2 linked regions of the Kluyveromyces lactis genome follow. The protein of the gene in region 1 interacts with the protein of each later gene in a pairwise test. Links are inferred from orthologs where the notes say so. Each region holds a gene or a part of one and is shown in the gene's direction. Other genes may lie near its edges.

The links.
Region 2: the proteins of PEX13 (region 1) and KLLA0_D06171g interact in a two-hybrid assay, tested with the Saccharomyces cerevisiae proteins (2 studies listed by BioGRID). The link is inferred for Kluyveromyces lactis from reciprocal best matches to the Saccharomyces cerevisiae genes PEX13 and AMD1.

Annotation. Positions count from the first base shown.
Region 1 is NC_006041.1:1,756,046-1,759,143, reverse strand, and holds PEX13 (peroxin PEX13), read left to right. Parts: upstream 1-1,235; coding exon 1,236-2,462; downstream 2,463-3,098. Other genes in the region: MMR1 (Mmr1p), read left to right, coding at 1-717; KLLA0_E19713g (uncharacterized protein), read right to left, coding at 2,782-3,098. UniProt on the Saccharomyces cerevisiae protein: Component of the PEX13-PEX14 docking complex, a translocon channel that specifically mediates the import of peroxisomal cargo proteins bound to PEX5 or PEX21 receptors.
Region 2 is NC_006040.1:528,482-532,595, reverse strand, and holds KLLA0_D06171g (uncharacterized protein), read left to right. Parts: upstream 1-1,277; coding exon 1,278-3,692; downstream 3,693-4,114. Other genes in the region: KLLA0_D06215g (uncharacterized protein), read right to left, coding at 1-162; KLLA0_D06193g (uncharacterized protein), read left to right, coding at 570-950; palmitoyltransferase PFA5, read right to left, coding at 3,842-4,114. UniProt on the Saccharomyces cerevisiae protein: AMP deaminase plays a critical role in energy metabolism.

The DNA of each region.
Region 1 (3,098 bases):
ATACTATCAAATTTCATGAATGACGAACAGCTGTGGCTGAATAATAAAGATGATTTCCAATATCCTGACGATCATCATTTCGACAAAGAAAGACTAGATCTGACAATCAAGAAACTTCAACTGAAGATTGATGAGTTGAAACTGGATAACGATAAATTGCATTTGGATAACGAGAATTTAAAAGATATCAACAATAGTTTAACGAGAGCAAATGAGTCCTTGACCTTCCAAAGCAGCTCGTTATTACAGCATATACAACAATTACCAAGAATATCAAATACAGACTTCATAATTCACAATTCAGACAGGTCACGGGAGAATATATCGAATAAACCACCATTCAAATCAGATGCACTAGTAAAGATCGCTGTTGAAGGAAAGATAAAAGAGCTAGAGAAAGAATTAGCTAAATGCAGAAGAATTCAGAAGGCTTTGGAATCCAGACTGAGCCCAAGGAAAAACAGGGTAAAGTACTTAACAGTTGAACAACTCGACGCGCTGGCTGAATCCAAATCGGAGAGTAAGCCAGATGAATCTAGTTTACATATCAGCGATCCCGACAACACTACCGCTCATAACAGTACTACGACATTAGATTGTGACGAAGGCGAGGTATTATCGGGGAGTATTAATCCAACGAGACTACAGCATGGTTTCAATTTACGCATACAATTAACTTCTTTAGAAGAAAGCAAACACAAGAAGGACTTTTCATAAGATAATTACAAATTTTTTTCAAGCATAATACGGACAACATTTTCGATTCAATATTTACAACTATCCAATGCTGCTGATAAAGCTTTGTAGTAGATACATTCAACTCACATTGCAGCTGCTTCATTTCGAACTTTTATACATTCTTTCAATAATAACAAGGATACATATATACATAATATGCGTGTCATTCGGAACCAATTTAAATACAAAATATTTAAAAGAAGGAAATAAGGATTTTCATTCAAGTATCCAACGGTTCTTCGTGGAAAAGATATCGTCTATTGCTGATGAAAAGACGATATCTACTATTGTCTTTAAGTCACGACGCAGGAAATAGTAACTTGTTACCCGGCCAAAGCATATTTCAAAGATTGACGATGATTCTAAAAGTAACATTGAATCATGTCGTGGAGCTTAAATACAGGTAACGACAGTGATGAATACACATCGATTGTAGCGGTTTTGGCTTCTATTAAGTGCTGTGATCGAAGTTCATATTTATTAGAGCATCAGTAGTCATGTCACAATCGGCAGGTGTTTCCAGACCGAAGCCCTGGGAGCAGAAAAATGGAGTTGAGAGTTTAGGAACTGATGCCAGTTTTACTGAGAATAGCAGTGCGTTGCAACCATCTGGTAATCAGCCTGACTTACCATCCAAACCGAACGGTTTAAATGAGGGTATGGATTCTTTGAACGGGGGAAACCCTCTTCGAAATGGTATGTCTGGATATGGTTCGGCGTATGGTGGAGGTTTAGGTACAGGATATGGAATGGGTTCCATGGGTGGTGGATATGGATCCATGTACGGAGGTGGTTATGGCTCTATGTATGGTGGTGGTTTAGGGTCGATGTACGGCGGTGGTTTAGGGTCGATGTATGGGGGAGGGTTCGGATCAATGTATGGGATGAACGGTATGAACGGTATGAATGGAGGACCCTCGGGGATTGCAGAGTCAACACAGGCAACTTTCCAGTTAATAGAAGGGCTTATAGGAGCCGTTGCTGGTTTCGCCCAGATGTTAGAAGCTACATATATGGCTACCCATAACTCTTTTTTCACTATGATAACCGTTGCGGAACAGTTTCAATATATGAAGGAGCTTTTGGGATCATTCTTTGGTATATTTGCCTTGATAAAATTCGTAAAAAAGATCTTGTACAGAGTTACAGGTGGTAAGATGGGAGTAGCGCCTTCCAAAAAGCGCTTAGGGATAGAGGGCGGAAAGAGCCAGGGCTCAGATCTTTCAAAACAATTTATCGAAGAATTCAGGGACTCAGATCTGACGAAGAAAAAGGGTAGAAGAATTTCATGGAAACCATTGATTGTGTTTTTAGCAGCTGTGTTCGGCTTCCCGTACCTTTTGAACAAATTTATTCAGAAATTACAACAGCACCAAAAAGCCAAAATAGCTGGCGGCGCTATGGCACAACAAATCTTAGATCCTAATAACCTAGAATTTGCAAGAGCGATCTATGATTTCGTTCCTGAGAATCCAAGAATTGAATGTAACTTAAAGAAAGGAGATCTAATGGCAATCATTTCCAAGAAAGATCCACTAGGAAATAACTCTGAATGGTGGAAAGTCAGAACAAAACAAGGAAATATTGGGTACGTTCCATACAACTATCTTGAGTTGATTAAGAAAAGGAAAAATGGCGTACCTGTTGAATCTGAGAAATCGAATACTTCTGAAGAACTGGCGGATTCAACCTCGGTAGACCATCTATTACAGAATCAACAGTGATTACATGGTGATGGACAAGAATTGAATATGGCGGGTCACAAATGCTAAGTTAAAGATGTGATAGCTTCAGAAAGTTTCAGACTAAGTATTAAGAAGAATTACGTTGTATTTTTCTCTTGTTTCACGTTATATATGTATTTGTGGTTACTACACATTTATTATTCCATTGCTCGAACCCCAGATACGGCATTTGGAATGCTAGAATATTAGCACAAGGGCGTTTATTGTCACCCTGCTGCTTAAAGGATCAGGTAATTTGGTTTATTGGGAAAAGAGGACATCGACATTCCGGACTTTATCATCATCTCATTCCTTATTTTTATTCGTTTAGTTTGTCAGCAGCATTTTCCAGTTTTTCTTTACCCTTGGCAGCGGCTTCCTTACCCTTGGCAGCAGCCTCTCTACCTTTGGCTTGGGCGTGTTCCTTACCTTTCTCTGCAAGATCGCTGGCCTTGTTTGAAGCCGTGTCAGCAGCTTCCTTGGCATCCTGCCCTGTCATATTGAATATCCCTTTCACTTTTTCTTCAACATTTTGGAAATTTTCACCCAAGTGATGAGTTGCTTCTTCGGTCTTCTCAATACCTTCAGCTGCAGCTTTACCAACTTTCTTGTTAACGTCTTCTAAAGTTTCTTTGA
Region 2 (4,114 bases), on another chromosome or scaffold:
ATTATAAGCTTTAAAAAGATCCTCTGCATGTTTGTTAACATCAAGAGATTCGACTAGACAATGTTCACCATGGACCACAATATCCTCAGGAAGTTTTCTTACAGTCCAATCGTATATTGGTTTACCAACAGGCTGTTCAAATTGATTTAGTAGAACAGACATTGACAACTGACTATCTTCGACCCTTGTAAATGTCTTTCTAAGGTTAAAATAACTGTGTCTTCCTGTTTGTTGGTGTTAGAGTAGTATGACTAAATCCTTCGAGAATACTCTTCCTTTTAATTGAGAAGCAAAATGAATTTCCATTAGAGATTTGCGCAAGGCTCTGACATAACCTGATGATTGACCCGGTTTAATTGGTTTATATTCCTGATCAAGAGCAATAAATTACATGGACAAAGATGCCAATCCTCTCAGTGGAATAAAGTGCTTGTCATTGAGCAACCTCATCAAAGCATAAAGGAAATCGTTAATTAACCTAAAGGAACTGAGAAAAAAAGACACCAGCTAGTAAGTAACATTGTATAATATGTATAAAAACGTAGTGCATACAACCAATACGGACCAAAATGATATCCGACCCACGCTTTCAGTATGATAATGTTCTCTTTGTGGATGATGATGATACTTCGGAAACAGTCATTTTCAATATACGATCTTGGTACCTGACTCTTGTAGGTATACTTGTGAAATATGGTAGCCAATCGATCAGTGATGCGACTACGATGCTCGACAATTCATGGCTAATCAAGGGTTTCTGCTGTGAAACATACAAGCAGGTGTGTTTGTACAGTCATGAATACGAGTATTATTGGGCCATGCTTGTTTTGCATGGGGATTTGTTCTGGCGCAGGGGAATTAGTGGCGACTTGCCAACAGGATATGATCAGTGGGAGCAAGAATACATACGCGCTAACGGCCTTGCGGAATCAATATTTGAATTCAGTTAAGGCGTTTTCTCTATATAGATTGAGGGTAATACCCTCCTGCACATTTAGAGAATTGACATCGGAAGCTTGCTATCCGCATCGTTAGGGTACCTTCTTGTTCTTTGTTCTATTACAGAAGTTGAGAGAAGTTGAAGAAAGAAAAAATAAACTAGAGACTTAAGACTAAAAGATTAAAGAATCTCGTTTGAGTATTCTGGACATTATAAAAGATAGAGGGACAGGAGAAGAAGTAAGGAAGTAAGGTACTGGCATTTATAGAAAAATAGCTACCTCAATTAGATCCCTCATTCAGCAAAAAATTGCCCAACGATTTTGTGCTCGTCTATAATGAATGGTTTTGATATAGATAATAGTATGAAACAGTCCCAATTGGAAATGCCATATCCAAATGAGGGCGAAGGCGGGCAGCACCAAAATACCCATGAGTTTGCAACATCTTACGATGCTGAAGAGGATCCCAACGATGTTGACAACCATTCGATTAGTACCCATTTTTCATACCATGATGGGAAATCGTTATTGGAGCAAGGGATCAAAAAGTTAGCACTAGATCACTTGCACAGCAACAATGCTAGCGTCGACTCGAATCTCGGTATGAAATCACAATTTCCTTCGTATTTTGGTAATTCGCCATTGGACGCAGCTGCTTCAGTCGCTGCAGCCGGAATACCTCGCCATGAACGAAGACTTTCACTATCTGCACAACAAGCGGAACCAGAGGTATTGATATCTAGTCCAATGTCCCAAAAGCCATCATCATCATCATCTGCTCAGATCTTAGATGTAGAACGGATCAAATCAGCTCAATATAAGATGGGCCTAATTGCTGATGATGGTCAGCATTCCTACGATTCACCCTCTCTTGAATTGGTAGAGTTGTATTCAAGTGTCAGCGATTGCAGGGAACTGAGAGAGAAGTACCAAACCTTGTCATTACAAAAACACCATCAAAACCCGAAGAACAGACCTGATTGGAAAATTTATCCACCACCGCCAAAACCTTCCTATAATGCAGCAAATAAAACTGTTGTGAAGGTCAGTAATTTGCCAGACTCAAAATCTTTTGACATTAATGAATGCGAAATTCCTGGCTTAGATGAAGATGTGGACTTCAGACTCAATAGCGATGAAGTTTATGTTTTATATGATACTAAAACTGAGGACAAAAAACAGGCTGGAAACGTCTTTCCAACACTACGTGAATATTATATTGACATGGAAAAGATCATTTCTGTCTCCTCTGATGGTCCAGCAAAATCATTTGCTTTCAGAAGATTGCAATACCTTGAAGCTCGTTGGAATTTGTATTCGCTTCTAAACGAATATCATGAAACTGCTGTATCAAAAAAGAACCCTCATAGAGATTTCTACAATGTCAGAAAAGTAGATACTCACGTTCACCATTCGGCATGTATGAATCAAAAGCATTTGCTTCGTTTCATAAAGCATAAATTGCGCCATTCGAAAGATGAAAAGGTCATTTTTAGAGATGAAAAAATCTTGACATTAGAAGAGGTCTTCCAATCGTTGAAACTGTCAGGGTATGACCTTTCTATCGATACTTTGGATATGCATGCACACAAGGATACATTTCATAGGTTTGACAAATTCAATTTGAAATATAATCCTATTGGGGAATCTCGTTTACGTGAGATATTCCTAAAAACCGACAATTATATCGATGGTAAGTATCTCGCTGAAATAACAACGGAAGTCATTTCAGATTTGGAAAATTCAAAATATCAGAACTGCGAGTACAGAATCTCTATCTACGGAAGATCTCCTGACGAGTGGGATAAATTGGCTGCTTGGGTGGTTGATAACAAGCTTATCTCTCACAATGTGAGATGGTTGATCCAAATCCCAAGATTATATGATGTTTATAAGAAAACGGGAATTGTCGAGAACTTTTTTGATATCTGTAAAAGCATTTTTTTGCCATTATTTGAGGTAACACAAAATCCACAATCCCACCCTAAGCTACACATTTTCCTACAACGCGTTGTAGGTTTTGATAGTGTTGATGATGAATCTAAAGTGGATAGGCGCTTCCAGAAAAAATATCCAAAACCAACTCTTTGGGATTCAACTCAAAATCCACCATATTCGTACCAACTATACTACTTGTACGCGAACATTGCATCTTTGAACTGGTGGAGAGCAAAGCGTGGTTTCAATACGTTAGTCTTAAGACCACATTGTGGTGAGGCAGGAGATCCTGAACATTTAATTTCAGCTTACTTGTTAGCTCAAGGAATTAATCATGGTATACTCTTGAGAAAGATTCCATTCGTACAATATTTATTCTATTTGGATCAAATTGGGATTGCTATGTCCCCATTATCAAATAACGCGTTGTTCTTGACGTACGATAAGAACCCATTCCAATACTATTTCAAAAGAGGTCTCAATGTTTCGCTTTCAACTGATGATCCATTGCAATTTTCTTACACTAGAGAACCTTTAATTGAAGAGTATTCTGTTGCTGCACAAATATACAAATTGTCCAACGTTGATATGTGTGAACTTGCCAAAAACTCTGTTATGCAGAGTGGTTGGGAAGCTCAAATTAAAAGGCACTGGATCGGTAAACACTTTGAAAAAGAAGGTATCGAAGGGAATGATCTTGAAAAAACCAATGTTCCAGATATAAGAGTCAATTATAGATATGAAACTTTGAAAACTGAACTTGAACTTGTCAAACATTTTTCCAGTTTCGCAAGTCTTTCAGCCTCGAAATGATTGTATATACCCTTTAAATAGTACTAAGTTCTTTTTCGTGTAGGCATATTTAATCTTTGAAATCGAGTATTCATCAGTGTTAGCATTATGGAAATACATAAAAGTTAGACGTATGCAGGAATGGATTGATAAGCATTGATTCTATATGTCTATACTACCAATCTTGTTACATACTCTTTTCGTTCTATCTTATCGATCATATACTTCTGAAATTTCTCGCTCATCACTTCGTTACAGTCTCCAATTAGATCATAGTAATTAGCTGAAGATTTACCATAACTTTGTTTGTGTGTTAAAATGGAAGGTATAAACCAGGAAAGATAATTGGGGCCTAAAAACTCTTTTAAGTTAGTTAAAATATTGCCCTTATTCCAGAAATCTTGGTTTTCTCCCGGGCAGAACTGGATCACATACCTGTAGCC